4 linked regions of the Struthio camelus genome follow. The protein of the gene in region 1 interacts with the protein of each later gene in a pairwise test. Links are inferred from orthologs where the notes say so. Each region holds a gene or a part of one and is shown in the gene's direction. Other genes may lie near its edges.

Region 1 (7,875 bases):
AATTCAATAATTTATTAGTTATTGATTGTAGTAAGGTTAGAGTAAACCAGTGAAGAAGGAACGGAGGTATGATCAGGAGGAACACTTTCGTGAAAGTGTTTGAGTGATCAGCAGTAGATTAGCTGTCCAGAAGGTCAGAAGGAACAGCAGAGATACAGCCCCAAACATGAGGAAGCAAAATATAAGATCTGGTGGTTGTCTGCATGTGGAGGAGAGAGGGGAAATTGGTAATTATGCCATAGATTCACAACAACTCTGTCAGTTTTGGTAGCATCACAGGGAAGAAAGAAAAGAGAGGGGGCATTCTAGGCTGCCTTTTATTCTTTGCAATCGGTTTCTATTTAAGAATTTTTCTGTCTTCAGCTGCTGTTTTACAATTTATCCTTTGGGTTAAAATCATCCCAAAATAATGATAAAGGAGGTCTTTTGTTCTAAGTTCCTTTCAGGGAGGTTATATTTCCTCCTTTTGTATTTACCTTAGGTCATCTTTTCAGTTATTTCTTCTTTGCAACATATTAAGAATGCTAAATGTGAAATAGAGCTGTAATAGACATAATTTTATTTGATGTGTGTTTTGAAGAACTAAGAGCTTGTGACATGGTTATCATAAACCAAGTCATAGCATAAGCCTGCATTCATCGTACAACTGGAACTCACACTGAACTCTATCAGAGTGCTAGGCACAGCAGAAATATATCAAATAATGTAATGTTTTGGAAAGAAATAAGGGATGATGCACTTTTTACCTGAAAATGTTTTATATGATTCATAGACTACAGACTAATCTGTATGATTCGTCTCTGTTTAAGACTATCAGTGTTTATTCAGTTGTATTAGTGGAGAGATCCAAAATCTACTGATATCAGGATCTTTCCACTGAATTCAATCAGCTGTGAGTTGGACCAAATGCCTGAGTCTTTTGCTGTGCAAAGTGGCTAGTCAGAAGGTGATCTACAGTGATTGGTGTATTTGCTGAAGTACATTTCCTTTCTGGGTTGTTCAGCCAAGTGTTCTCATTATGGAAATAAGTTTTGCATTGACAACTTGTGTCCAGGTATGCGTCCAGGTGTCCTGTTATCAGATTGTAAAGCAGCATGAACTCCAAGGACTAGGGTTCACAGATGAGGGGGCAGTGGCCGGATAGAAGCCAGGTACAGCCATTGTCCCAAGAAGGAATTAAACATACTAAAGAAAAGGAGGGGGAGACATACTTATGCATGTATTGCTGCTTCCTTATTCCTTATATTGTGAATAATAACTCTGGTTTAAGGATAGGATATAGTTAACACAGCTGATGGTAGAAACTCCCTAGGCTGTTTACGCTGATGTGTAGTCAATTTAGGAGCTCAGATAATCTCTATCCCTAGCTAAAAATGGGTGAAACAGAGAAGAAATTTGAAAGCAAATGGGATTTCTGAAATTGAAAACTCCTGACTAATCTTGTCTCTGGTGTATGAAGGCCTAGGTGTAATCACACACATAAAGGTGTGATCTCATCTAATTCATCTAACTTATTACAGTGACTAATGTGCTGACTCAGAAATGTAACTGTCATTGTGCTCACACTTGTCATTCATTCTACTGCATATTCTCAAAGGATTTCCTAGTTTTTAAAATATATATTTGGAAAGTTTGGAGATTTTCTACAGCAGTATGCTTCCACTGCCTTTTGACTTCAGTGCTACATGATAGCACAAGGGAGATACATTCAGCTGGTAGTGGCAAAAAGACACAATGATTGCTACCTGTCTATCTTCAAATAAGCTATAATCTAGTATGCTGTGATCTGCTTCATTATCAGACTTAATAATAAAATATAGTACGGATAAACTTTAATTTGGCTTGACACTTTAAACTAAAAAGTTATAAAATGTGCCTTTGGTTTTTAGTAGCTATGAAAAAGAATTCAATCTCCAACTAGCAATGAAGCCATGCTTGATGTCATTAGAGGTCTATATTTCCTGTCTGACAGATTTTAATGATTTTTTTTAATGAGGTCTAAGGTAAAATTTAGAAAAGCATCTCAATGGCTTTGCAGCCTAAGTATCATTGAAAGTCAATTTAACTTTATAACTTTTGAAAATGGAACTTACAGAAAACTTGTCTCTGCCTACCTTGCTGTAAAAAGATCAGCATGCCAACCTGTTCTGTACTCCCTTGACCAGAGAAATGAGTTCAATGAATGTAGCCCTTCCCACTGCTCAATAAACATAAAGGTGTTTGAACAAGGTGCTTTCTTGTAGGTGCTTTCTACAAGCTAAGTGGGATAACTGCAACTAAACAAACTAAAGTGACACTATTCTTATATTCTTATATTCTTATTCTTATAGCACCCCAGATGGAAAGCCCATCAAACAACTTCTTTCCTATACTTGAGAACATAGCATGCCCTGAAGGCTAGAAGACCAGCCTTGCTTCGGAGTAAGGATGGCTTAAATTAGTTTTGAAGATGTACTCAGAGAATCAGGAGCAAGACCTCTCAGAGAATCAGGAGCAAGAGCTGTCACCGATCTTTTCTCTTTTTGAAGTGAGGGGGACCAGCCTGAATTATTCTGAGGAGTAGAGCTGCAGAAGTATGGTATGAAGACACAGGCGATCTCTCTCTCAGGTAAGATAGTCCTGAGTTCTGTCGCAAACAATATGGCATTTCTTGCTAAATTGTGAGCCATGTGAAGAAGAACTGCCCCTAGTTCTATGTTTGTCTTTGTTTTATTTGTTTTTTTTTAAATGAGGACTTACACCTTTACCGCCACATCCAATATGTAACAAAAGCTGATTGCCAATTAAAGCAGTCATTTCCATAATCAGAGTCTTATTATCTACTTCTGAAGTGTTTCACATGTCTTGAAATCAAACTGTTTTCCTGCTCCTTGCCTTTCTCAGTGGGGAACATAGTTCTCATACCTTCTCTTTCTTTGTTGTTCTTTCTTTTTCTTTCTTTCTTTCTCTTCTTTCTCTTTCTTTCTTTCTCTCTTTCTTTCTTTTCCTTTCTTTTTCTTTCTTTCTTTCTTTTTCTCTTTTTTCTTTCTTCCTTTCTTTCTAGAAATAGGAATAGTAGCACTTCAGTCTTCTACATCTATGCTATATGTATTTTTATAAATACATGGAGGCCCTCAATTACTCTACATACTGAGTGGAAATTGAGTAATGGCTGTCTGCATATATCTCAGGTTTTTGAAGACATCACAGACCATTTTCTATGGCTGTTTAACACCTTTCTGTCCTGATTTTTACCTTTGCTTATTCCTTCATCCCCTGAAAAAAGTACAAATAAAAATCCAAACACTATAGAAAAAAATCCCTTAAGAGGAACAGTAGTAGGTGATTTGAAAGTGTATTATGGCAGTAACTATTTATTTCATTAGAAAAACATATTAAGTTAAAAGCAGAAAGAATCTCACCTTGAGGTTGAGCATAGCACACATAGTATTGTATGATGGACAGTTTGTTCTTGAGGCCCCACAAATGACGTTTTAACAGCCTTAAGATGAGCTAAACATCTTTTGTTTACTCTCAGAATCAAAACATGTTAGTAAATTGTCTGTTGGGGGAAAATCCTGAATAAATATAAGCTAGAGTAAACGTATATTTAAAGCTAAATTCTAATTAAAACAAAATCAGTTTTATTTACTCCAGCTGTAGACACTTCAATTGCGTAGCCGCTGTAATTCCTCAGGTGCGGGTGCAGGAGCTTCAGTTCGCTGCGCCAGGAGGCGCAAGGCTGCCTGCCCACGCGAGACCGCCCCCGCCCGCGGGCCCCTCCTGCGCGGACAGGTCACGGCCGGGCCCGAGCAGCCGCGCCGCGCCGAGCCGCCGGGGCCCCGAGCGACCCGCCGCCGCCGAGGCGCCGCTGCTCCACGGCCGCCGCCCCGCCCCGCGGCCGGCGGCGGCTTCAGCACCGCGGACAGCGCCCGGCCGCCGGGGCCCGCGGGCGGGGCAGCCGCGCGGAGCCCACGGGCACGGACAAATGGGCTTACACACGCTCCTGAGCGCACGCACGCACACACATATACGGGCACACACGCAGTCACAGCGCGCACAGCCACAGCCACGCACCGAAACACGGAGCGGCAGCCACACACACACACATACACACACGCGCGCGCGCGCTGCGACGCACGGACAGGAGCGACGCAGACACGCAGTCACAGCGCACAGGCAGACACAACACACGCGTGCACAAAGAAGCACTCAGAGACAGAGCCACAGGCGCACGCTCACACACGGAGACACGGCACACGCACCCCCCCCAACACACCAGTCACACACGTTCGCGCGCGCGCGCGGTCCTCTCCCCCCGCCCCCGCCCCCGCCCCAGACCGCTCCGCGCCCCGCCCACCGCCCGGCGACAGCCAATGGCGCGGCGAAGTTTCCGCGTGGCCCCCGCCCTGCCGGGCACAGCCACCAATAGGAGCCGGGGGACTGAGCGTGCCTGGCCCCGCCTCCCTACTTAGGGCGGCCGGTGGGAGCGGGTGGCTCACTGGGCGGGGGGGGCAGAGGCGCGCGGCGGCACACGCTGGGACACGCGCGCCCACACACGCGCCCCCCGCGTGGAGCGAAGGCGGCGGGGGGTGGGAGGAGGAGGAGGAGGAGGAGGCGGTGCCGCCGCCGCCGCGGGCAGCCGCGCCGTCGGGGCGGCGGCGGGCGCGGCGCACCTGAGAGCGGCGGGGCGCCGGGTCACAGCGAGGCGGCCGGAGGCGCGGAGCGAGCCGGCCCGCCCGCCCAGCCCAGCCCAGCCCAGCCCAGCCCGCCCCGCAGCGCCCGGCCGCCGCGGCCCCGAGGCGATGGAGCAGGAGAAATATCTGCCCGAGCTGATGGCGGAGAAGGACAGCCTGGATCCCTCCTTTGTTCACGCCATGCGCCTCCTGGCCGACGGTAAGGCTCCGCGCCCGGCCCCGACCCCGGCCCCGGCAGCGGGGCGGTGCGGCGGGGCCGGGCCGGGCGGGAAGCGCGGCGGCGGCGGCGGGCGGCGGGCTCGGCGTCCCCCCCCCCCCCCCCCAACGTCCCCCCCAGCCTCGGTCCGCGGAGCGGAGGCCACCGGCGCTGCCGGCCGCAGGTGCGGAGCGCGTCGGGCGGCGGCCGCTGGGGCCGGGTTTAACCGCGGGCGCGCCAGCTCCCGCCCTGGCGGGCTGCTGCGGCCGCTCGCCGGGAAATGCGCCTTTTACTTCTTTGGGGAAGGGGAAGGTCTCTCCTCGAGGCTTGTCCGTAGAAGGCGGATGGCCGCGCTGGTCCCACGGGCCGTTGCAGTTGGTTGGGCTCGGGGAGCATGCTGCCATGGCCCCTGGTTTTATTTACACACAGGCAGACGCTAGTTTCTCGTTGAACTCATTACCTCTTCTTTCCCGTGCTTAATAATAAGGCTTATATGATAACGCTGTTACGCCTTCAATGCAGCACTGTTTTCCTTGACTCCGCTCTGTCAGGCGTTCATTGGCTGGGGCTTATCAGTTTCATGCCACAAGTTCATTCAGGACGTGATGAATTACTCCTGGACTCGTGGGGCGATCTAGAATAAAACACTCATAACATCTCGTTCTTCATTATCATAACGTAGCTCTGTTTTCCTCATTTTGGTTGAGGCCTTTTTTTTTTTTTTTTTGACTGGAGAGTCTTTTAAAAGTTTATAATTTAGCCTATTTTTTCCCCCATACCCGCTCAACGTGGTTACTGAGCGCAGGCCTTGCAGTACGGCGCTTCCAGTTGCACAGCACCGTAATCTGTGACGGCCCCCTCCCTCTGTTCCTTCGGAGGTGTATATTGTTCGTTTCTAAAGTCACTGTTAAATTTGGATCCAAATATCAAAACGAAGTAGTAAAGAGTGCATAAATCAAGAGAGGCTATCAAACCCTTAAATGAGACTGAGGCAAAGAAATGGATGATTAGGCCCTTGAGAGAGTCGCAAATTCCAATTATCTCACATTCAAAGAGGAGTGAATAATTTCCAAAGTTCTGTAACATCTTAAGGAAAAATTACAACCACTTAAAACTTACTATGCTAGCAGTACTTGTCTTTCCCTAAGCCAGCAGTCTTTCTGTTGTCTTTCTTTCTTACACGTTTTCTTGATTGTGAATAAAGGTACTGAGTCTAGGTTTTATTAAAGTGCCCCTGTTTGATAGTTTGGAAGTTCAGTATGAATAATGACACATTTAGTATACCTTTGTAATTGGTCTCCTGCTGCTGAAGAGATAACCACGCTACTTCCCATAGTTGTTTTTCTATTAAGGACTTTATATGTACCATATGTTTATTTCGGAAAGGGGCATATTTTCTGCACCTTGCAATTTGATCTTTTCCCAGAAGGGGGAGGTATCTACTGAGAGTGTGTGTGTGTGAAAGAAAGAAAATGCATGCAGGAAGTAATTCAAAGTGTGTGAAGTAAAGTTTTTAAAAAAAAAAAAAAAAGGGGGGGGGATGACAGAGTTTCTGAGTTTCAAGTTCATGCGAAAATTGCATTTTGAGTGGCTTGTGAGACTGCATAAGTGATTAGCATTCTCCTTCGTTCTTAGTATAACTAGGACTAAGTATGTGAATTTTTAAAAAAGATGAAGGTGAATTGTCTGTGGAAGCTGTAGGGAATGCTAATGTCAGATTCACACCAGATACCTGGCATTATCCTTCAAAACACCATCTGTCAAGCTTTCTAGAGATTCATTTTAGAGTCTAACATATGATAACTATTGAAACAGTTTCATCAAAGTAAGAGTCAAACTAGTTAAGGAAACAGGAGTGAATGCACTGATTGCTCCTGGGTATAAGCAGAAGGAAAAATGTGTACAACAGGCGGAAATTTTTTGGGATGCCAGAAGAACATGGAGCAGTAGCGCAAGGGCAGTAGCGTAATCTCTGTAGTAATATGTTTCTAGGCTATGCTGGCTTTAAAGCAATGCTTCCAGATTATGGATTTCTGTTCTTTGAAAAATAATATATGAATAGCTGCATACATACCAATAGTAGTCAGGTGTTATTTTTGTGGTGTGCTAAGCTTTTTTGATTGCCAGTAGATTTAGTATAAAATGTGTAAGTGCTGGTTGCAGATTTTTTGCTTCAGAGTGGAGAGCCTCCAGCTCTGACTTGAAAGTGCTGTGATTTTTCATGTCACTTGCTAGGAGCTGAGGTTGAGAAGAGACATGCTCCTGTTGGAAACCGTAGAAGGGCACACAAGAGAGCAGCATTACAGAAATACAGTTTCAGTTCATGACACCTGGGTTTACTTGGATTGACTTGTAAAAATATTTCTGTTTCTTTTAAACTTTAATATTAGACTCTGCCGTTTTCCTTCCCACAAATATGTATTTTATGTTTAGACGTGCCTAACTTATTAAGCTGTGAAGATGTGGGTGACACATGGAAGCTACAAACCACTGGACCTTTCTGATAATTTGTAACTTCTTTTATATCAGCATTATTTTAATAAGCCAGAGTGTCAGCTACTTGTCGCAAACAATATGTCGGCAATTTTCCATGTATGCGTGGCTTTGAAATAGCTTACATTGTATATTATTAAAACCAATTGCCTGTGTTTTCTAGTAGAAACATAAAGGAAAAAGACCCTTTGGAAAAAGAGCCAGCCAAAGTAAAAGCATCTTTCCCTATTGAAATATCAACACTACTTGGGTAATGAGGTAGCTAATTTCGCTCTGTTTAATGACAGTACAATTGACCTCAGATTTTCAGCTGGCGTTCTGAAGGCAACGAGAATCAGGTCTTTTACTTTAATCGCGAGTTAAGCCCTGAGTCTGCAGATTATTCTATGCAGCATGCTAAGAGTTTGTGAAACCTCCAGGCATGTCGGTTAGTCTCATATGGCTCGATGTCATAGAGCTCCTTGTAGGACAGGGCATGATTATTCAAAAGGGATATAGTTGTTTAGCCTC
Region 2 (7,558 bases), on another chromosome or scaffold:
AGAGCGAGCCAGTGAGCGTCCCTAATCGCAGGGCTTGTTAGGCACTCGGGATTTAGACATTAAAGGCTCACACTTTCCAAACCAAGGAGGTTTGGAAATCAGACCTCTTTGCTTCCCATGCACGTGGCAAGCCGTGTTTGATCTTGTTTCCCACGTTCCCCCTATGATCTCCGGGCTCCTTAGGGCACAGCGCATGTCACTCCGATACAGTTTGCCGGGTGAACCCCGTAAACGCACACCTCCCTCTGGATTACTGAGCGAATCATTGCTTCCGCTGGCAGCTGTCGCGGTGCGTTCGTCTTGCCATTTGTCTTTTGTGTTAAACTGAGATCAGAAAATTATCTGCAATTATTTTAGAGAACGGCCTGGGTTTTGCATGCAACTTCTCCTGTATTTGATTGCAACGTGTAGATACTCGAACACTCTGCGATATCCCCCCTCCGGGTTGTACTCTGCAAGATTCCCGTCCCGGGCATCAGGCAGAGCAATGGGTGGTCGAAGAGTGAAAGGCAGATGAGCACACACAGCGCCGCGCTTAATCTGCGCTGCCCTTCTCCGCACGGCACATGATAACAATTGAAGCAAAAGTAGGTGTCACTGAGGCAAGAGAGTTGTTTGAGAGTGATTAAAGAGGAGTCATATTATCACAACAGAGCATTCTTCATGTGCCAGCACTGGGCAGCTGTGTTAAATTTTCCCCGGGGAGTCTTCTCTGAAGCATACTTTCTTTTTTTTTCTTTTTTAATAATAAATTACACGCATGTTTGTCATTTCAAGCTCTAGGAGATAGTAGCTCCATTAAAACAAAGTTCTGCAAGCCCTTTGAGCACTGGCAGGAAACGAAAAAATAAAACCAGGGTTTAGCGTCTACTTTCAAGATTTGCAAAACTCCATCTGCCCCAAATTCTTCAGCGTTAGAGTCAGGGGTATGTGCCACCGTTATACATTGAAGGCGCCTTCGAGAGGAGGGCAGTTCCCATGCAGAACGAAGGCCCCAGAGGAACGTTGTCCTCGAGCTCAGGGAGGGATCGCCATTAGCTCAGTCGCTGGATTTACAGTCAGGGCTCAAGGAAATTATAATCCCACTTTTATAATGAGCAAACATGTCTTTTGCTTGCTTCTGCCCTTTAAAAAGAGAAATAAAATCCATTTGTGCCTCCTACGGCCTGAATTTTGAGCAGGAATAGAGAAGACCTACGTTAATACTAAAAATTGCTTTTCTCACCTGCTGTTTGGTTTGTTCTTCCAGGAGCAGGATGAGGGTGGCTCGAGAGACCTGAGGCCGAGCTGCTGTTCAGGATGCCAATACACGTGCCAGCCTGGCCTGCCGCTCTTTTCCAGGGCTTTGGCAACACCTCACAAATTGGTGATAAAGGCTAATTATCTGCACAAAGATGCACATCCTGCTACGGATTTATGAATAATTCTGAGAAGCAGCAGAAAAAGCGGAAGGCGCGTCAGGTGCATTCTCCTGGGGGACACGGCTTCGTAGTCAATCCCGTGGGCAGAGGAACAACAGCGATCGTGTTGTCCAAGTTACTCCACAGGGCAGCTGGAGCCCCGAGGCAGAGGGACTTTGTGGAGAGGTCTATGTAAGGACGGAAGGGTGACTGTCACCCTCCCACATCACGTTGCAGCATGTGGCTATAGACCATGCTTCTCCCTCAGGGGCATGAAGAGCTCCCACAACTGTCTCCAGTGCAGCCCTGGTCCTAGGCAAGTGGCGAGCTCCTTCTCACAGACCACCGTTGCCTTTTGGTTGCTCTGGCTTTCATGGTAGTGCAAGAGTAACTCTGTGGAAATGAATTAAAATTCAATAAAGATTTCAGAGACGAGCAATCAGATACGAGCTAGCAGGCCTCCTGTGCAGACGTCGCTGTGATCCTCGTGCCTGCGCAGACTTTAATTCTCCAATCACGCAGAATCGATGTCCAGGCTAAACAGGGGGCAGCACAACAGGATGGAAGGTCCCTGCCTCGTGCCTGGCTACATCCAGTTCACGGTGACTTCCCTCGTGAGTCGACTGAGTGACCTGTGATTGAAAGCACCGTCGCTGAGCAGAACTTGGAGCGTAGCTCTGCAATGGGCAATGCAAGGGGGAGCACTCTGTTGGGGGGAATGAGACAAAGGCGTTATATAAGTGTACATCTCACAATAGCATGATTATTTTCAAGGTAATTTTTCTATGGGAAATTGTAAGTTTTTTACAATGCATGTAGCAAGGGGTGATGAATGCAATCTGCCTTGACACTTCTTTAAGCTGTTTAAATTGAATATTATGTTTCCCTGTGCCTTGGCTGAAGGATTACTGCCAGCACTATCAGAGGAAACTTTTAATTGGAGACTGCTCTGCACCGCATCCGTGTAGCTGAGCAGAGTCAGCTCTGGGTTTTCAGTTGGCCACAAACTCATCTTAATGTGGACATATACAGCACATACACTACCCTGTTCTGGACATACTCTAATCCGCACGTGACCTAAGTTCCCTAGAAGGGCTTTCTTCTAAGCAGGATGACCGTGTCTGGGAAGCATCTTCTGTTGCAGTCGTGAAAGGCAGGCATGTCTTGGTGAGGACTCTGGCTCATACATCAACCTTCTCAGCGCAAGCATGCAGGACTGGGCAGAGAACACGATCTGACCTGTCTGATTGTACCAGCCAGCTCTCCATGCACCACTGCCAGCACACAGTGGTGTGTATTGTTTCTGTAGTTTATCAGGGTGGTGGAGAGATTTACTAGAGCCTGGGCTACACGTGCTGGCAGCAGTGACCATCTCCAGATGGGTATTTCTTTGGCACTCTGCCCAGTTGTCTGTGATTACAGACCTATGCTGCTTTTTCCTTTTCTTATTTGGTCCTTCACCCATCAAGTGTGGCTGTGCCCTGAAGCTACAAGCCTTTTATGGTAGGACCAGGTTTTCCTGTGCATGTCCAGCAGGTAGCCCAGTGCACCCCAGCACCGTCTATGCTGCAAGGGACTATTTTACAGCACAAGGAATCAGTAAGAATAATACAGCTAGAAATCAAAGACTTGCAGTGTTAGACATTTAGTGACGAAACTCGCAAGAGAGCTGTATATAAGTGAATTATAGATTTAAGAATTGCTGGGAAACATCTATGTTACTGTCTGAGGAAGCAGCCTGCTCTCAGTGCTTCAAGATCTGTGGACAACAGGAAAGCACACGTGTCTGGCTGGGCTTTCTCATATGCATGTGCATTTTTCTAGGACCATGCTCAGTTTCATAAACTCAATCTCCATGTATCCAAATAAGTCATTACTACTGGTGATGTTATGAGCAAAACTGATTGCGGAATGAGTCCCTAATTCTTTGTAAGAAGCTGGGAAAATGAAGTCCTGGCAGTGCTGAAATGAATGTCAAAATCTCCACTGCTGTCAGAGTCCAATACTCTGACCACGTTCTTTTAGATATTCCGCGCATGGAAGGTGTAATGTTTAATATCAAATTTACTTTTTTGAAGATATTTGACGTTACATAGGATTCTGATGTAACAGAGTTACAGGGCAAAAAACTGAAATCACAATACGAGTGTAAATTATATCTAGCAAAATATAGCCATTACAATATACAGTTCAGTCGTAATACAAATGTAATTCCCCTTACCAGTCTCTATAATATGCTCACCATCATGATGCTGGGCATCCCCACACGCTGGGAAGGAATACGTGGGTTGAAACCAGCTCAAGACCATTGATTTCTTCAATGTTGTTTTGTTAGTTGTTCAGTTTTTATTGTCTATATTGGGTTTAGCCATGTATATGCTCCCCCTATGCTGGTCTGCTTAACTCACAGACATTCATACTCTTTCGATGAACTCGGGAAAAACATTTACACCATCAGTTGATCCATTCAACTGTGATATAGTCAGTTGACCTAATCAACTGACACAGCCGTTTACCTACAACACAGGTCCCTCTGGTCCCCTTTGTGTTGAGATAAATTCATCTTTCTTTGTAACAGCTGTGATCAGTCACTTCCTGCATTCTTCTGGGGGCTATATGGGCACATCACCCTTGCCCATCTCCTCTGAACCTTCTTCCATTGTGAGCATTTATTGGTCCGTCACGCACTCCCACTCTGAACTATACCGAGCATTTCCCAGCCTGACCCAATGCTACCCAGGAATCATTTTGTATGAGTATTGGACCATGCAGGTGCCACGTGTACAGGACGTGTATGATCTGCCACAGCAAAACCCAGAGGCCTTGTATACACATCTCTGAAGCAAGGAGGCAAATGGATTTTTCTCCAAAAGGATTTTTCTCTAGACTTCTCAGTATGTTTGAAATCCACACACTCCTCAGCTTAATGATGGGTCCTAATACTCTGTCACTGGAATTTTCCACCATTATCTCACTGTTCATGTATCAATACGCGTCCAGACAATTTCTTCAGGCCACATGGCCATTACGTTAAGAAGCAAGAAGCTGATAACGCCAGCAAACGAGGAGGCCAGTGCACTGACCCTTGCCGAAATGGACATTGTTTCACAGGGAGATAAGAGTCTCCCACCTCCATGGGAGGGCCTCAGGAGTGACCAATGAGCGTGGACAGCTGCCAAGATCCGCTCTCCTCTTCCTCTTTATAACCAGGGCTGTGAGGGCAGTTAGCACAAGCTTGCTCTGAGCGTTCGTTGCAAGGAGCCTGAGACTGCACCCTCTTGCACAATGACTCTGACTCAAGCTGAGAAGGCCGCCGTGATCACCATCTGGTCGAAGGTGGCTACCCAAGCTGACGCCATCGGGGCAGAATCACTGGAGAGGTAAGTCACCCAGCACCCCTCCTAAAAGGGTGCCTCATCTGACTTTGCTATTAGGATGCTTCTTGTGTAAAACGTATATGAATGAGATCACACTGGGACTGGTGTGAATTAGATTCTGCAGTCACCTTAACCGCCTCCATACACATGCTCAGCCTTTCTGGCAGTGGGGAGCTGGTCGGCTCTGCCAGTGGCGCGCAGAGCCCTGCGGGACAAGGCCCAAGGCTGGCTGGCTACTGAGCATGTGGTGTCAGTGGATTTTGGGCTGCACCAGGAAACACTGATGAGGAAGGACCTAGATATGTCTTGGAGAACAAGCCTCGTGGCAAGTCCTTTAGAATTTAGGCAATTATATAGAAATTGCTGATGAGCTCTATGATGTTATTTAATATGTAATTTACTGGAATTACATCTTTGCTACTAAATTCTAACAGATGGCCTCAAAACTTCATGGCAAGACATAATTTTCTATTCAATTCTACAGGTTTCCTTCCCCTTATAGCAACCCGGAAGAATTCATAGCCAGGTGCACGGAAGAGGAATTTAAATTCATTCATACTCAATGTCCTGAAATAGGGTTATCACTGCTAGGAAATGAACTTAAAGCAGTTTATTGTATGAGTGATGCAATTCCTATCACCATATAATCAGCATTAATAGATGATAGCTGTCCAATAAATTCATTGGATACTCACGTTTCCTTGAGCCAGTTGATGTGTAACAGACTGTTAGGAAACAACACAACTGGACCCTGCATGAAGTATATCACAGCAAACAGAATGGGCACTGAAGGAATCCACTGTAAATACAATAGCTTCTTATTATCCCAACAGGGATGTCCCTTTCAAATAAGCCAAGCCACTCTTAAGACTAAGGAAGTGGCTACTTCTTCCAAAAGAAGTTCACCCAAATTCAGCAAGCTGGCACAAAAGGGAGAGTAGTCTGTAAATTGTTCCAAAGCAATTAAGTTAACCAAAGTTATGTGGTTGTTATGTACAGATCAATCTAATGTACTGTGATGCTCTTTCTGAGACTCAGAGTACCAGTCATATTGATTCTGGTTCATTCAGCTCAGATTAGTTTGCAGATCCTGCTAACTGGCTGACAGCGTAATACACGAAACGTAGGTGACAATTTGGGTGCATTATTTGTTAATAATACATGAGCTTTAGACCCCTGGCTAATTTGTACATACTACCAAAGTGTTTTAAGAGCAGAAACATAGCAGGTCTTAATGCAAGCTTCAGACCCCCAAAGCTCTGTTACAACAGCTGAGCGAGTGTACTGCTGCAGCTGGTGGGTTTACAGCACACTTGTCCTGAGGTTGAGATCCTCCATGCAATTTACGCTGCTGAATTTAATTCTCTTGTTCTCCTCCAGGCTTTTCTCCAGCTACCCCCAGACAAAAACCTACTTCCCTCATTTCGATCTCAGCCAAGGTTCTGTTCAGCTTCGTGGTCATGGCTCCAAGGTCATGAACGCCATTGGGGAAGCTGTGAAGCACATTGATGACATTAGAGGCGCTTTGGCCAAACTCAGCGAGCTACATGCTTACATCCTACGGGTGGACCCAGTGAACTTCAAGGTGAGTGAACACAAACAGACACTTTCAGGGATGAAAACTGCCAGTCACAAAATTAGAGACCAGGGATCATTTCAGCTAATGGTGGCTTGATCCCTTACTGCACTGTACAGCCTTGTCAACTCATGTTGCTGCTTCGTCATCTGATTATTAACCTGAGATTGGATCTTTTCATGAAAGATCTGGTCTAGCTCAAGAAAAGAACTGTTCAGGGGGTTCCTGTGGTCTGTGTTAGACAGACTTGAGTCCCTGCTGTCTTTGTAGTAATTTATGAACCTTTCTCACATGTCAGAGTATAATATCACCTTTCTTGAAGAAAGCCTTAGTAAATTCTAAACAACATTTCCACTTTTCTTGCATTGCCCATTGGTGAAGGAGGAAGGGACATTTGAAAAGCGGGAGTAGTATCAAGCAGTGCCTTTTGCCCTGTGCAAAAGGCAATTCTGCTTCTTCACACTTTAGCCAGTGTTAACTGGCTGGGACATGTGTTTGTCGTCCAAGAGCAGGCTAGGAGTAAGGTTTGTTACAGATCCCTAGACTGAGGTCTATACTGATCACAATGGATTCTGTCCTGTTTTCCCTTACAGCTGCTTTCCCACTGTATCCTGTGTTCTGTGGCTGCCCGCTATCCCACTGAGTTCACCCCAGAAGTTCATGCTGCGTGGGACAAGTTCCTGTCCAGCGTTTCCTCTGTTCTGACTGAGAAGTACAGATAAATGGCTTTCACAGAGGGTGAGGGATGCACATCCATGGCATGCCACAGCTGCCAGGCTTTGGGGTATTCATTTCTTCCTACGCAGTCCTCTTAAATCCTCTATATAGGGGTTCAGTCATCTGCAAAACCCAATAAATAATTCAACCATGAGCTACCGTCTCTGTGCTTTCATCTTCACTTGCTCCACCTATGCCCCACTGTTCAGCCAGGGGTATTCTGACATCCCTACAAAAGATGGAGGGGAAAACGCTAAGCTGTGTAAATTCATGTGCACAGTGGGAATAACACACCATTGAGCAGAAGCCCAGAACAGGCTAGAGCCCTGTGACTGCTTCTGCTCACTGTTCAGAAGGTGGGGTTCACCAGGGATAAGGCTCACCAGGAATCGGTCTTTCACCCTGTTGGGATAGTGGATGGATCCAGGCTTTTCATTTGGCCTATCTGGAAAAAAGGGGTTAAATGTATGTTTCCTGTGCTGCTGACC
Region 3 (7,307 bases), on another chromosome or scaffold:
GGCCGGCGGGAGCCCGGCGCGGGGCGGCGGGGTGGGGGGGCCGCTTACCTGCTCGGCGGGCCGGCCGGGCTGTGCGGGGGCCGCGTCGCGCCGCCGCCGTTTTATACGGCGGGGAGGTGCGAGCGGGAGCCGCCGGGGCGCGTTTCGGAGCCTGGCCCGGGGCCAGCGTGGGGCCGGGAAACGCCTCCCGCCTGGCCGCGGCCGCTGCTGCCCGCCGAGCCCGGCGCGGCGCGTGGGAACGGCGGGCGGTTCGGCGGGCGCCGGGGCCGGGGAGCGCAGCTCAGCCGGGGCGATTCCCGCGGCGGCCGGCGGGACGCCCGAGCCCCCCGCCGGCCGACGAAGCCGTGCCCGGGCGCCGGGGAGGCCCGGTGATGTGACCCCCCCCCACTTCGTCGCTCCTGCCCGCTGGCGCGTCTCGGTGGCCGCCGGGGCCCTCTGCCCTGGCCCCGGTGCAGGGCGGCTTCGTGACACCCCTCCCGCCCCGGGTGCAGTGAGTCTGCAAGGCCTCAGCCCAGCTCCTGCCGGCTCCGCGGGGCTGAGCAGGATGCTAGCCGGGGCTGGGGGGGGGGGGGGGGGGGCTACGCAGACCCTCAGGACCGAACGCTTCGGTGAGGGGCTCCGCCGGCCCGCCCCGCGCCGGAGCCATCCGGGGGTGGCGGGAAGGGGCCGGGGGGTCCCGCCGGGACAGGGGTCCCTACTTACCCCGCTCGCGGCCCCCGGCGAGGCTTTACGGGGCAGAGCGCGGCGCTTTGTCCCCGGCCCGCGGTGTAGGGTTTCCCGTGGCGTTTCCCGCGGCGTTTCCCGCGGCGGCCGGACGCGCGGCCGGACGCACGGCCGTCCCCCGGTCTCCTCCCTCCCCGCCCGGGCTGGGGTCGGGGCCGGGGTCGGGGCCGCGGCGGGGCGACCAGCCGAAGGCCAGCATGTTTTTCGTGGGGGTGTGAAACCACACGTGCGCCGAGCGCAGCCCGGGCTCAGCGCCGACGCGGAGCGGGCCGCGGCGGGGGGGCGAAGGCAGCGCCGCGGCCCGGGGCACCCCGAGACCCGGACGGGCTCGACCCGCAGTGAGTGAGAGTGGTGACTCAGCTGCCCACTGACATCATCCCTATTAATAGTGGTCTTTGTAGAAATTAATTAATCCCAATTAATTAGGGGGTGGGAATTGCCCCAGCGTTTAATCATGGTGTATTTTTAACGCGGTCGGCCTGGCCGGTTTCCACCTGGCGCAGGAGCCGGAGCAGGTGCCCGCTGCGGCGGGGCCGTTCCCGCGGGGGCCAGCGGGAGGGGGCCGGGAGGGGGCCGGGGTGCGCCGGGGCGGCATCGGTCGGGAAAGCCGGGCGGGCTGCCAGGTTGGCTGGGGTTTCCCAGGGGAGCCGGTTTTCCCACGGGGCGTTTTGGGGATCCGACCCTGGGCATCACCGGGCCGGTGCCGCTGAGCCCTGACGCGCTCACTCCACCCGCGCGCGCGCTTGCGGCGTGGCGGTCCGCGGCCCCAGCTCACGGGGCAGGAATTGGTTTCGTGCAGCCCCGTGGGGCCGGGCCGGAGCGGGACTTCCGCCGAGCCCCGCGCCAGGGGCCGGGGATGGGCGGCGGGAAGCGCCGGGGTGAGTCGGGACGGGTTGGGCTGAGTCACCGGCCCCAGGAATTTGGGGCCAGCCCTGGAATTTGGGGGGCCGAGCGGGAGCAGGTGCCGGGAGGAGCGCCGCGGCGGAGCGGAGCATCCCGGGGCCGGCGCGGAGCATCCCGGGGGCCGTTCCCCCCGAGCCCGCCGCGCGCCGATCCGTCGGGAAAGGGCTGCCGGCTCCCCGCGAGCCTCGTCCGCCCGCCAGCCGTGGGCCGGGGCGGCGAGATGGGGCCCAGCCCCGGCACCAGCAACCGGAGCGACCGGTTGGAGCAGGGGAGTCGGAAGCTGGAAGCGGTTGGGAGGGGTGCGCCAGCCCGCCGGCCCGGCTCCCGGTTTGGGAAGAGGGCGCCCGGCCGCGCGGGGTCCGGGCCGCGTTGCACAACGGCGGGGACGGGACGGGGGGGCCGGAGGGCAGCGCGCGCCCGGTGGAAACGGGAGGCGAGCCGGAGAGGAGAGCAGGATATAATTAGCTCCCAACGAGGACTGGAATCTGGGATAAAGATTCCCCGGCACCACCCGGCTCTTGCGAAAAGCCCAGGGCCCCGGCACGGGCAGCGCCGCCCGGCACCCTGGGGTGCCCCGGGGCTCGGGTGCCCCCCCCCGGGGCCGTTCCCGCGCCGGGGCGCGGGAAAGGCCGCGGCGGGGACGGTCCCCGGCGCGCCACCCGGCCGCCGGCCCGTAACGAGAGCCGGGATTATCGGCCTCGCTGATGCCAGCCGGGAATCCGGTTTCTCGGCCGCAGCAGCCTTCCCCGCCGGGAGAGTCGGGCTTTTGTTCTTTTTTTTGCATCGAACAAGAGGCCTTTCTGCGCCCGGGGGGGGGCCGGGCGGCCCCGAGGGGCCGGGGCTGCGTCACCCGATAGCCACCGCCGGGCCCCCCACCCGGCTCCGAGGACACCGGATACCCCGCGGGGCCGGGGCGGCCCGGCTGCCGGGGCCGAGGGCCGAGGGGGGCCGACGGACGGGGGCTCTGGCCCCCAGCGCCCACCCGGGAGCCGACCCCCGTGGCTCCCCCCGTCCGGCAGCCGGCACCTCGCTCCCGCCAGCGCCCGGCTCGTCCCGTTTGGGGCACGGGGTGCAAGCAGGGTGGGAGGGAAGGGGGGGGGATGCCGGGCCGGGAACGCCCCCTCGGCGGGGCGCGAACGCCGCCGGGGCCGGAGCGGGCGCCCCGCGCGCCGGCTGGCCCCCGCGCCAGCTCCGTGCCGGCGGTGCCAGGCCGGCCGGCCAGCCGCGGTGTCGGATCCTCCCGGAGGGAGGGGGCTTGGAGCTTATTTAACGGGCCCGGGCGGCCGCGGCCGGGCGCATTCGGAGCCATGGCGTCGCAGCTGGAGGGGGCCATGGAGACGCTCATCAACGTCTTCCACCACTACTCGGGCAAGGAGGGCGACAAGTACAAGCTGAGCAAGAGGGAGCTGAAGGAGCTGCTGCAGAGCGAGCTGGGCTGCTTCCTGGAGGTAGGGGCCGGCGCGGGCACCGGGGGCCACCCGGGCGCGGGCCCGGGGGGGCTGCCGAGCCCCGGCGCTCGCCCTCTGCCCCTTCCTCCGCAGACGCAGAAGGACGCGGGCGCCGTGGAGAAGATCATGCAGGACCTGGACGAGAACGGCGACGGCGAGGTGGATTTCCAGGAGTACGTGGTGCTGGTGGCCGCCCTCACCGTGGCCTGCAACACCTTCTTCTGGGAGAACGCCTGAGCCGGGCCGGCCCCCCTCCCCGAAACGCGGAGCCCCCCGCCCCCCCCTCGCCCCCCGGGGCATCCCGCCGGCATCCGGCTCCGCAATAAAGGCAGCGACCCAGCCGGCGGCGTGCTGTCACCTCCTTGGTCGCCGTGGATGGCGGGCACCGGGGTGGGGGGGCGCGGGGATGCGGGGCGGGACCGGCCGGCCGTCGCGGCGGAGGCGAGCGGCGCTGCGCCCCACGGGGCTCGAGGAACCGGTTCCCGCCTCCTCCCGGCGGGCCCCACGCAGGGCCGGCAGCGCCATCGCCTGCCGGGCTTGGCGGCTCCGGCGGGAGCGCTCCCCGAACGCCCCCTCCGGCACGGCCCGGGCCTCCCGCTCCGGCCCCTGGGGTCTCGGCGGGGCCGGCGCGCGGCGCCCCGCTGCACCCAGCAGAAAGCAAGGGGCAGCGGCGGCGCTGGCCGGCCGGAGCTGTGTCCTGCTCGTGGGCGACCCGAGGGTGCGCACAGACATCCCTGAGGGACCCCCTCTGCCCGACGGCGGGGTCTGTTCCCCCCCCAGGGGCGGAGGAGGCAGGGGCGCGGGCCGGGACACCCGCCCCACACGTGCTGCGGGCGCGGGGGGCTGTGGAAGCGGCATCCAGCCTCGACGGAGCGGGCGGCGGCCGCGCAGCACCGCGCAGCACCGCGCACCGCCGCCGCCGCCCGCGCCCCCCCGCCCCGCCGTCGAGGCCCCGCCCCGCCCCGTCGAGGCCCCGCCCCTCCCCGTCCACGCCCCGCCCCGGAGGCCTCGCCCCGCCGTCGGGGCCACGCCCCCTCCCCTAGGCCACGCCCCCATGCGCCTCCGGACCCCCGCTCGGCCGGCAGGGGGCGTGGTCACGCGCGGCGCTTGGCGCCTGCGCCCTGCCCGCCCTGCCCGCCCGCCGCCGCCATTTTGCCCGGCTCGGCGCGGCTGCTGGGGGAGGGAGGGAAGGTGCCGCGGTCGTTGCCGCCATTTTGTCGCTGGCTCTCGAGCGCGGCGGGAGCGGGCGGAGGGGATCGGAGCTGAGCCCCGCACCCCACCCGTCAGCTGTCCGGCCAGCCCCCACCGGAGACCTGGCGACCGTCTGCTTCGGTGAGAGCCGCCGGGCCTGGCCGGGGGCGGGGGGCGCTGAGGGGAGGCGCGGGGTGGCCTCAGGCGGTGGGGGCCCGCCGCCTGCGGGGTCAGTGCGGTGCTTTGCCCTGGGCTCGGCCCCGGCGGCCTCGCGAGGCGCCTCGGGCGGGGCTGGGCCGGGCCGGCGGGGCCAGGCCTCGCCCTGCTCCCCGGGCCCGGCGCTCGGTGGGTTCCTGTCAGCGCCGTTCCCCGCCAGCTGCTCTGTGCAGTTTGCGTGGGCAGGGGGAAAAAGGCTGTTTTGAAACCACCTTTCCCCCCCTCCCCGGTGTGGGGGAAGTGCTGCAGCGGATTATTAGCTCCGTTTCTAGCTGAGCGGGCTGTAGAACATCGTAAAAATCTTATTTGTTGCTAGTAGCTTGAGGATAAGTGCTTTTGCCAGTCACCTAAGCGCTAGATACGTTATTAATCATAAAAATGAGGCACTGATCCGAACGGTTAGCGGGCTGAGCTGTGTTCCTTAGCGTTTCAAGTTGTAGTCATCACTGCTCTCAGGCCTGAGCTGTGATCCAAAGATAATAACAGCTGGGTTTAAATCCCTTTAGCTGCTCTCATGAGCAATGTGATGAGGTTTCATATTAGAGAGCCGCATTGTGAGTGCTGGTGAGCTGCCTGTTAGAGTATCACATACTCGAAAGCTGAAGTAACTGCGCAAACATATATAGGTTACCCCTGTGCAGCCCAGCTGTGGCAATCCTAGGGTAGTAAGAGGGAATGTGACCTTAATATTTTGAAAGTATGTAGGTCTTCTGTAGGAAAAAGCAGTCTTTGAATAAGCTTTGGGGTGTGTGGGTTTTTTTTTTTTGGTATTACCGAGTGTGTGGTATGCCTCTCTAAGATGGAAACCCCATTTTCTGTTTTATTGATACTAACTGCTTAGAAGCTGTAGAAGTGTCACTAGGTGCAGTACCAAACAAGATGTTTGGGTGCCGTCCTGGCTGCTGATGGACTATGTTTCTGCAGCATTACTCCTACCAATGGCAAATCTTCCCTTTCTGAAAAGAAGACTATTTAGTAAGGGATGAGCCAGCATAACTTGCTAGCTTAATAAATTTACTGCATCATGACAATGGCCTAGGAAACTTGAGATAGAGTGTTTTTTGCCAAGTTCTTGGCTCTCTCCACAAAAGGATCTGGAATGGAATGCAGGTTTCTGAATGTTTAACCACGTAAACGCGAGTTCTCCTGCTGTTTTTTAAATCAGGCTCTCATGTTTTGCAGATTCTCTTGATCTGAAGATGGCTGCACAGTCAGCACCGAAGGTTGTGCTAAAGAGCACCACCAAGATGTCTCTGAACGAGCGGTGAGGAAGCCAACAGCAGCTTCAGCTCATAAGAAATTTTTTACTTAATTATCACTGTCTGGTTTCCAAAAACCAACGTGGTTTCTGCCCTGTTTTAACCTCGCTATAACAAGCAGATGGCTATGCACCTCTGTCTTAAACTGCAACAAATGTGGTACACAAGGTTAAAAGGGCAATTATTCTGGAGAAATTTATCCGTAGCAGTTAAAATTAAACTATTCAACACATAAGTATGGTGGGATGTGTTATGACAAAAAAGAGAAACCTCGCACCCTCCCTTTTTCTTCCACATGTTTTTACATTTATATAGTTGACACTGCAGCATGGTAGCATGTTACCTAAGCTGCAGTAGGCTTGCTGCTTTGTCCAAGGCAGACACACGTGCATGTGGTCTGGCCTGTAAGAGGCAGGCAGCAGGCCATTAAACAAGCCCAAAGGCCCTTTAACAACGTTTTGGGCCTTGTAAGAGGCAAATGCTTTGCTCCATCTCCATCTCTCTCTTTTCTTGGTGCTGAGTTCTTTATTTCTTCTGCTGAATATCCTCCTGCTTTTCCATGCCATTACGCTTTTGTGGTTCTGCAGTGACAACTAACAGCAATGCTTCAGTTATGTTTCACCTTCTCGCTAATCGCTCTTGGATTAACCACGTTAATAGCATTAGGCCAGGGAGAAATGAACCATTTGTATGCAGTTCCTGTTCCAGCAAGTGCTGCAGCGAGACTTAGTCTGAACCAGTGCTTGGCTTGCCTCCTGGAGAAGAGGAATAGTGAGGTGCAGTGAATGCTTGCTGGCCTGTTGCTGTTTGGTCAGTCCATACTACTCATTCTGTAGTGCTTTATTTTGCTGTCCTGGTAACTCCTAGGACACAGTAGAAAGCTGATGGGTTGCTGCTAAGGAAGCTTACCATCTTGTTGTATGTTCTAGGCCATATAGCTCTTAAAGGCAGAAGGTTCCTCATGCGTCAAGGAAAGTGCTAGATAAACCGTTTTCTATAAATGACTACACTCAGATGGTGGTGTTTCTTGTGGCACCGTTTCTGTGGTGTGCTGGAGGCATACCAGTCTGTTCTCAGGGCAAAGTCTTTTATAAAGCTGTCTTCTGGGGTTGAGTCTTTAGAGAATTTTCTCAACTCCGTGAGGTTATTTTGGCTTTTGCAGTCAGATTTCAGTTGGCTTTTCTACTTCTGTGCAATGTCCTCTTCCATCTGTCATGGTCATCTCTGCTTATTGCTTGTTTTCATTCCTTCTTCCATTTCTAAAATCGGTAAACTAAACCTTTACCACTTCTGAATTAATACACAACATCATTTCTAAGTTTCCAGTTCTTGCACATTTGTGGAAAACAAGGAATACGTAACTCACATATGACGTGACCTAAGTACCACTCTTTACATAAGGTTCATGGGATCTGGAGATCCAATCTTGAGAACCATGAAATGCCAATAAATGTGTGTAATAAAGCTTTATTTAAACACCCATTTTATTCGACCTTGAAGCTTTACTAACATGCTGAAGAACAAACAGCCGATGCCAGTGAATATTCGAGCTACCATGCAGCAGCAG
Region 4 (8,016 bases), on another chromosome or scaffold:
GGCCAGGGCTTACTCCGAGGTTACTAGCCGTTTCCTCGGGGATCGCTCCTGGTTTGCACCAGTTACTCCCATGTTACCCCGAGGTTACTCCGGGGCTCACCCCCATGTTACTCCGAGGCTGCTCCTCCATTACCCAGGTGTTACTGCTGATTTGGATCGAGGTTGCGCCCATGCTACTCCGAGGTTACTCCCACGATACTCTGAGGTTACTCTTAATTTATTCTAAGGTTACTCGTGCTTGACCCACGAGGTCACTCCACTGTTACTCCCATGTTGCTCCAAGGTTCCTCGTGGTTCACACTGCGGCTACTCCTGCGTTACTCCGAGGTTACTCGCAGTCCACGCCAAGGTTGCTCTCATCTTACTCTGAGGTTACTCCTGGTTCAGGCCAAGGTCGCCCCCATGTTACCATTAGGTTACTCCCAGCTCACACCAAGGTCACCCTCATGTTACCCCGAGGTTACTCCTGGTCCACGGCACGGTTACTGCCACGTTACTCTGGGGTTACTCCTGGCCCACGCCGATATTACCACCATGTTACTCTGAGGTTACTCCTGGTCAAAGCCAAGGTGTCCCCGAGGTTACTCCCGGCTCATGCCAAGATTACTCCTATGTTACTCCGAGGTCGCTCCGGGTTCAGGCCAGGGTCACAGGGTTACTCCCATGCTACTCCGAGGTTACTCCCGATCCACACCAAGCCCCCCCCCCATTACTCCGCGGTTAGTCCTGGTCCATGCCAAGTTCCCCGACATTACCCCGAGGTTACTCCTGGTTCACCACAAGGTTGCTACGATGTTACTCCGAGGTTACTCCAAGTCCACATTAAGGTCGCCCCCCGCGTTACCCCGAGGTTACTCCCGGCTCACACCAAGACCACCACCATGTTACTACGAGGTTACTCCCAGTCCACACCAGGACCCCCACGTTACCCCGAGGTTACTCCTGGTCCCCACCGTCACCCCCACATTGCCCAGAGGTTACTAGTGGCTCACGTCAAGGTTACGGCCATGTTACTCCGAGGTTGCTCCTGGTCCCCGCCAAGGTCCCCCCCCGTGTTACCCCGAGGTTACTCCTGGTTTATGTCGAGCTTACTCGCATGTTACTCCGAGGTTACTCCTGGTCCACTCCAAGGTTACCCCGTTACCCAGAGGTTACTCCTGCCTCATGCCACTGTTACTGCCATGTTACCCCGAGGGTAATCCTGGTCCACACCGAGGTTACTCCGAGGTTACTCCGAGGTTGCTCCTGGTCTACACCGAGGTTACTCCGAGGTTACTCCCAGCTCACGCCAAGGTCACCCCGTTACTCCGAGGTTATTCCTGACCTACACCGAGGTTACTCCGAGGTTACTCCTGGTCTACACCGAGGTTACTCCGAGGTTACTCCCAGCTCACGCCAAGGTCACCCCGTTACTCCGAGGTTACTCCTGACCTACGCCGAGGTTACTCCGAGGTTACTCCAGGCCCCCAATGTCGCCCCCGCGTTACCCCGCGGTCCCCGGCATCGCTCAGGATCGGCCCCTCCAGCGCCCCTATGGATCCCGTACGTGGGTGTAGATATGTACATAGGCCACGAGCGGCGCCTTTTTTAATGTATATATATATATGTATATGTGCAGCATGAGACGCTTATAGGCCCAGACCCCTATAGCGCCCCGGGGGGGGGGGCCATGCTGCCTCTATAGGGTGCTGGCGGGGGGGGGTCCTTACAGCCCCTATAGCCGGGGTCGCTCCTGGCTCGGGGTCCGTATGGATTCTATAGGGAAGGGCGCCCGGCCGGCCGGTGCCGGGGGGGGGGCCCGTATAGCCCCCGTAGGGGGTGTTGGTGTGGGGCTGCCGTGGCAGCTGGCGGGGGAACCTATAGGCTCCGTAATGCCTCTATAGGGGACCTTCGGGCGTCTATAATAGCTCAGGAGCGGTGCTGCCATAGGGGCCCCCCGGGGCGCTTTTAAGGTGCCCTTATAGCGCCCGTAGCGACCGGGCAAAGCACTGTATGGCATCTATAATGTCCAGAGAGGGAAGGCGGTGGCATATAGAGAGTTTCCGTAACAGTGCTGCTTGTATAGGACATCCTATAGCAGCTATAATGGTTCCATAGGGGACCCTAAGGCATCTATAGTGCCTGCGTAAGGGCTGCCACAGCCCCTATAGTAGCCCCAGGCAAGGAGCACTCACACAGAGCAACCTACAGCGGATATAAGGGACAAACCCCCTCGCTGGCGGCGCCTCCGGCACCTATAGCGCTGCCGTGAGGCCGGCGGCGTCCGACCGGGGGGGCCCCTATGGCGCCCATAGGGCCTCGCAAGGGGGCAGCACTCAGCCGGGAGACGGTATAGGGGCCCCGGGGGGTAAAGGGGGGGTTCTTGGGGGGGCACTATGGGAGCCCCTATGGCATCTATAAGGGCCAGGCGGGATTCTATATGTTGCTTATGCTGCTCATGTAAAGGATATAAAGGCCAAGAAGGGTTTTCTATAGTATCTATACTGCGGGTGTAAGAGCTGTTACGTGTTTCTGCGATCCCCTATAGCATCTATAACGTCCCCACGGTGTCTCTAGGGCCCAGGCGCCGCCATAGGGGCCCCGCAGCCCCTGCGTGGGCTCCGGGGGGGGCGCCTATAGGTGCCGGTGTGCGTGGGGGGGGGATGGGATCCATAGGGTGCGGGGGGGGGTTCCCACGGCCCCTATAGAGCCCCCGGGGCGGGGTGTGGGGGGGGGGCGGCCGCGTCGTTTCGGCTGTACGGGAGCCATTAAAGGCTGCGAGGAACCCAGGCGTCCGGCGTCTGCTGGTGGGGGGGGGCCCCAGGCGTCCGGGGACCCCCTCACCCCCCACCCCCAAGGGGCCCAGGCGTCCGGGGACCCCCTCATCCCCCACCCCAAGGGGCCCAGGCGTCCGGGGACCCCCTCACCCCCCACCCCCCAGGGGCCCAGGCGTCCGGGGACCCCCTCATCCCCCACCCCAAGGGGCCCAGGCGTCCGGGTGCCCCCCCCAACCCCCATCCAAAGGGGCCCAGGCGTCCGGGTGCCCCCTCATCCTCCCCCAAAAGGGGCCCAGGTGTCCGGGGACCCCCCCATCCCCCCTCCCACATGGGCCCAGGGGTTCGGGTACCCCCATTGCCCCCCCCCCAAAAAGGCCCAGGAGTCCAGGTACCCCCCCATCCCTCCCCCCAAAGGGGCCCAGGCGTCCGGGTGCCCCCCCAAACCCCCCCGAAAGGGGCCCAGGTGTTCGGGGACCCCCCCCATCCTCCCCTCAAAATGGCCCAGGTGTCCGGGTAACCCCCTCATCCTCCTCCCCAAAGGGGCCCAGGCGTCCGGGGACCCCCCCTTACCCCCCCCCCAAGGGGCCCAGGCGTCTGGGTAACCCCCAAAGAAGGGGCCCAGGCGTCCGGGTATCCCCTCAACACCCCCCCCCCCGCGAAAGGGGCCCAGGCGTCCGGAGACCCTCTCCCACCCTCAAATGGACCCAGGCGTCCGGGTACCCCCCACAGAAGGGGCCCAGGCGTCCGGGTAATCCCTCCATCCTCCCAAAGGGGCCCAGGCGTCCGGGTGCCCCCCCTTACCCCCCCCCCACAAGGGGCCCAGGCGTCCGGGTAACCCCCAAAGAAAGGGCCCAGGCGTCCGGGTATCCCCCCATCACCCCCCCCCCCCCGCGAAAGGGGCCCAGGTGTCCGGAGACCCTCTCCCACCCTCAAAAGGACCCAGGCGTCCGGGTACCCCCCACAGAAGGGGCCCAGGCGTCCGGGTACCCCCTCATCCCCCTCCCCAAAGGGGCCCAGGCGTCCGGGGACCCCCCCTTACCCACCTCCACAAGGGGCCCAGGCGTCCGGGTAACCCCCAAAGAAGGGGCCCAGGCGTCCGGGTACCCCCCACAGAAGGGGCCCAGGCGTCCGGGTAATCCCTGCATCCTCCCAAAGGGGCCCAGGCGTCCGGGGACCCCCCCTTACCCCCCCCACAAGGGGCCCAGGCGTCCGGGTAACCCCCAAAGAAGGGGCCCAGGCGTCCGGGGACCTCCCCCATCCCCCCCCCACAAGGGGCCCAGGCGTCCGGGTAACCCCCCCATCCCCCCAAAAGGGCCCAGGCGTCCGGGGACCCCCCTTACCCCCCCCCACAAGGGGCCCAGGCGTCCGGGTAACCCCCACAGAAGGGGCCCAGGCGTCCGGGGACCCCCCCATCCCCCCCAAAGGGGCCCAGGCGTCCGGGGACCCCCCCTTACCCCCCTCCACAAGGGGCCCAGGCGTCCGGGTAACCCCCACAGAAGGGGCCCAGGCGTCCGGGTAACCCCCCCATCCCCCCAAAGGGGCCCAGGCGTCCGGGTACCCCCCCATCACCCCCCCCCCCCGCGAAAGGGGCCCAGGCGTCCCGAGACCCTCTCCCACCCTCAAATGGACCCAGGCGTCCGGGTACCCCCCACAGAAGGGGCCCAGGCGTCCGGGTACCCCCCCATCCCCCCAAAAAGGGCCCAGGCGTCCGGGGACCCCCCCCTTACCCCCCTCCACAAGGAGCCCAGGCGTCCGGGTAACTCCCCCATCCCCCCGAAGGGGCCCAGGCGTCCGGGTAACCCCCCCATCCCCCCAAAGGGGCCCAGGCGTCCGGGGACCCCCCTTACCCCCCCCACAAGGGGCCCAGGCGTCCGGGTAACCCCCAAAGAAGGGGCCCAGGCGTCCGGGTAACCCCCCTATCCCCCCAAAGGGGCCCAGGCGTCCGGGTAACCCCCCCATCCCCCCAAAGGGGCCCAGGCGTCCGGGGACACCCCCCCAAAGGGGCCCAGGCGTCCGAGCGGCCCCGCGTGCTCGCTCGTCCCCCTCCCCCTCCTCTTCCTTCCTCCCACCCCCCCCCCCCGCGCTCCCCGAATGGTCTCGCCCGCTGCCGGAGGGGGGGGGGGGGCGGAGCCTCGCTGCCCGCCGCGCACGCGCGGCCCCGCGGCGGGCCAATGGGGCGGCGTGGCGGGCGGGTCACGTGGGGAGGGAGGGGGCGGCCGGGGGCGGGGCCGCTATATAAGGCGGGGGCGGGCGGCGCCGCGGCCGCAGTCTCCGCCGCTCCGGCCCCTCTGTCGTCGCCCTCGGGTGAGTCGCCCCTTCCCTCCCTTCTCCCCCCTCCCACCGCCTGTCGCGACCCCCCCCACCCTGCTCCGACTCTGTGGCCCCCCCCCTTTCCTTTCCGCTGTCGCGATAATCGCGGTTTCCCGCCGCCCGGCCGCTCTGCGCATGCGCGGCCTCCCCTCCCGCCGCCGCTACGGCGGCGCGGTGGTCGCTCTCTGCGCATGCGCGGCCTCCTCACGCTACGGCGGCGCCGTGGTCGCTCTGCGCATGCGCCGCCGCGGCGCCCTCCCCCCCTTCCGCTGTGGGAGGGGGAGCGTTCGGTTTGTGCGCATGCGCGGCGGCAGGGAGGTCGGGGGTGGGCGAGGGGCGGTCCCGCTCCCCTCCCGCGCCTGCGCGGCGGCTGGCGCATGCGCGCGCCGCTAGGGACGCGCGGGGCGGGAAAGGGCGGCACGTGGCCGCCGGACCCACGTGGGGCGGCGGGTTGTGACGTGCGGGGCGGGGGGGGGGATTGTGACGTTGCGCGGGCGGCGGGGGCGGGGGGGGGGAACCCACGTGGGACGAGGGGGGGGATTCCCCCGCGGGGAGGCGGCGCTGTGACGTCAGGGCATCCCCGGGCGGGGATGACGTCGGGCTGCCCGGGGGGGGGGGCGGGGGGGTGGATGGGGATGCCTTTGGGGTTCTGACGTCACAGCGATCTATTTTTGGGGCTGGGTTTTAGGGGGGATTCCCGGGGCGGGGGAGGGGGAGGGAGTTTCCTAGGGGGATTCCCGTTTTGGGGGACCCCTGGGGGGCTGAGGGTGCCCTGGGGGGGTCTCCGTGGTTTTGGGGGTCCCCTGGGGGGGTTGGAGTGCACCGGGGGGGTCCATAGGGCTCGGGGAAGGGGTCTACCTCGTTTTAGGGGTGCCCTGGGTGGGTGTTAGGGTGCCCCAGGGGGGTCCCGTAGGGTCTGGGGGGGGTCTCTTTGGTTTTGGGGGGGCCCATAGAGCCCTGGAAGGGGTCTGCTTGGTTTTGGGGGTCCCTTAGGGGGCTTAGAGGACTGCAGGGCAGTCCCATAGGGTCCTGGGGGTGGTCTGCTTGGTTTTGGGGCTTCCCTGGGGGGGTTGGGGTGCCCCGGGGGGGGGTCTATAGGGCTCAGGGGAGGTCTCCCTGGTTTTAGGGGTGCCCCAGGGGGGTCCCATGGGGTCCTGGGGGGGTTCTTTGGTTTTGGGGTCCCCTGGGGGGGGTTAGAGGGCTCTGAGGGGGTCCCATAGGGTCCTGGGGGGGGGTCTCCTTGGTTTTGGGGGTGTCCTGGGAGGGTAGAGGGCTCTAGGGGGGTCCCATAGGGCTCTGGAGGGGTCTTCTTGGTTGTAAGGGTGCCCTTGGGGGGGGGGGCTTGGGGTGCCCCAGGCGGAGCCTATAGGGCTTGGGGGGGGGGAATTCCCTGATTTCGGGGGTGCCCAAGGGGGCTTGGGGCACCCCGGGGTGTCCTGTAGCACTTTGGGGGGGAGTTAGGGGGCTCAAGTGGGGGTCCCATAGGGCTCTGGGGGGGTCTCCTTGGTTTTGGGGGTACCCTTGGGGGAATTGGAGGTCCCCTGGGGGGGGGTTGAGGGTCCCCTGAGGGGGTTGGGGGGGTCCCAGGAGGGTCCTATAGGGCCCTGGGGGGATATTTTTGGTTTTAGGGGGTTCTTCTTGGGGGGGGTGGTTAGAGGGCCCAAGGAGGGTCCTATAGGACCTCGGGGGGGTTCTCGCTAGTTTTGGGGGTTCCTCTGGGGGGGGGGTGTCCTGGTATTGGGACTCCCTTGAGCGTGTCCCCCCCCCCCCACGCGGCGCAGCCCCCCGCCATGTCGTCGGAGGAGGGGAAGCTCTTCGTCGGGGGGCTCAACTTCGACACGGACGAGCAGGGCCTGGAGCAGCACTTCAGCTCGTTCGGGCCCATTTCGGAGGGTGAGGACCCCCCTCCCCGAGCCCTGGGACCCCCCCCCCCTCCCCAAGGGCTGGTTTCCTTCTCCTTGCCCGGGGGCCACCCATGGGTGGGGGGTCTCGGGGTTGTCTAGGGGGTGAGACGGCCCTGGGGGGGCACGATGGTGCTCCTGGGGGACCTGGGTTCTTGTAGAGCCCCATGTTTGGTGGGACACCTATGGGTGGGGGTCACGGTGGTGCCGTTGAGGGTCCCCACGTCTCCTAGAGCCCCCTATATGGTGGGACAGCTATGGGTAGGGGTCATGGTGGTGCCGTGGAGGGGTGCCATGTCTCCTCGAGCCCCATATATGGTGGGACGCCTGTGGGTGGGGGTCACGGTGGTGCTCCTGATGGTCGCCATGTGGTCTAGACCCCCCCCATTTGGGGAGCATGCCCGGGGTGGGGGTCATGGTGGTGCTCTTGAGGCTCCCACTTATCTCTAGACCCCCATATTTGAGGAGGACACCTATGGGTGGAGGCATGATGGTGCTCCTGAGGGAGCTCGTCTCTTTTAGACCCCGTATTTGGTGGGAGACCCATGGGTGGGGGTGATGGTGGTGCTCCTGAGGGTCCCCATCTCTTCTGGGCCCCCATATTTGGTGGGACAGCTATGGGTGGCGGTCACGGTGGTGGTCCTGAGGGTCTCCATTTGTCCTAGACCCCCATATTTGGTGGGACACCCATGGATAGGGGTCGCGGTGGCGCTGCTGAGGGTCCCCATCTCTCCTAGACCCCCATATTTGGTGGGACACCCATGGATAGGGGTCGCGGTGGCGCTGCTGAGGGTCCCCATCTCTCTTAGACCCCCATATTTGGTGGGACATGTATGGGTAGGGGTGATGGTGGTGCTCCTGAGGGTCCCCGTGTCTCTCAGACCCCCATATTTGGTGGGATACCTATGGGTGGTAGTCATGCTGGTGCTCCTGATGGTCACCATGTGGTCTAGACCCCCGTATTTGGTGGGACACCCATGGGGGGGGGTCGTGGTGGTGCTGTTGAGGGTCTTCATCTCTCCTAGACCCCCACATTTGGTGGGACACCC

What was found.
Region 2: the proteins of KHDRBS2 (region 1) and hemoglobin subunit pi interact in binary tests that used the Homo sapiens proteins (3 or more experiments, as listed by UniProt). The two-hybrid records come from large-scale screens. The link is inferred for Struthio camelus from reciprocal best matches to the Homo sapiens genes KHDRBS2 and HBZ.
Region 3: the proteins of KHDRBS2 (region 1) and CHTOP interact in binary tests that used the Homo sapiens proteins (3 or more experiments, as listed by UniProt). The two-hybrid records come from large-scale screens. The link is inferred for Struthio camelus from reciprocal best matches to the Homo sapiens genes KHDRBS2 and CHTOP.
Region 4: the proteins of KHDRBS2 (region 1) and RNA-binding protein 3-like interact in binary tests that used the Homo sapiens proteins (3 or more experiments, as listed by UniProt). The link is inferred for Struthio camelus from reciprocal best matches to the Homo sapiens genes KHDRBS2 and RBM3.

Annotation. Positions count from the first base shown.
Region 1 is NC_090944.1:36,990,453-36,998,327, reverse strand, and holds the start of KHDRBS2 (KH domain-containing, RNA-binding, signal transduction-associated protein 2), read left to right. Parts: upstream 1-4,728; 5' UTR 4,729-4,784; coding exon 4,785-4,875; intron 4,876-7,875. UniProt on the Homo sapiens protein: RNA-binding protein that plays a role in the regulation of alternative splicing and influences mRNA splice site selection and exon inclusion. Binds both poly(A) and poly(U) homopolymers. Phosphorylation by PTK6 inhibits its RNA-binding ability.
Region 2 is NC_090956.1:19,172,636-19,180,193, reverse strand, and holds hemoglobin subunit pi, read left to right. Parts: upstream 1-4,411; 5' UTR 4,412-4,685; coding exon 4,686-4,780; intron 4,781-6,157; coding exon 6,158-6,362; intron 6,363-6,946; coding exon 6,947-7,075; 3' UTR 7,076-7,233; downstream 7,234-7,558. UniProt on the Homo sapiens protein: The zeta chain is an alpha-type chain of mammalian embryonic hemoglobin.
Region 3 is NC_090971.1:4,711,005-4,718,311, reverse strand, and holds the start of CHTOP (chromatin target of PRMT1 protein), read left to right. Parts: upstream 1-4,215; 5' UTR 4,216-4,406; intron 4,407-5,663; 5' UTR 5,664-5,680; coding exon 5,681-5,745; intron 5,746-7,240; coding exon 7,241-7,307. Other genes in the region: S100A1 (protein S100-A1), read left to right, coding at 2,934-3,074, 3,168-3,311. UniProt on the Homo sapiens protein: Plays an important role in the ligand-dependent activation of estrogen receptor target genes. May play a role in the silencing of fetal globin genes.
Region 4 is NC_090979.1:807,169-815,184, forward strand, and holds the start of RNA-binding protein 3-like, read left to right. Parts: upstream 1-4,963; 5' UTR 4,964-5,060; intron 5,061-6,847; 5' UTR 6,848-6,856; coding exon 6,857-6,959; intron 6,960-8,016. UniProt on the Homo sapiens protein: Cold-inducible mRNA binding protein that enhances global protein synthesis at both physiological and mild hypothermic temperatures. Reduces the relative abundance of microRNAs, when overexpressed.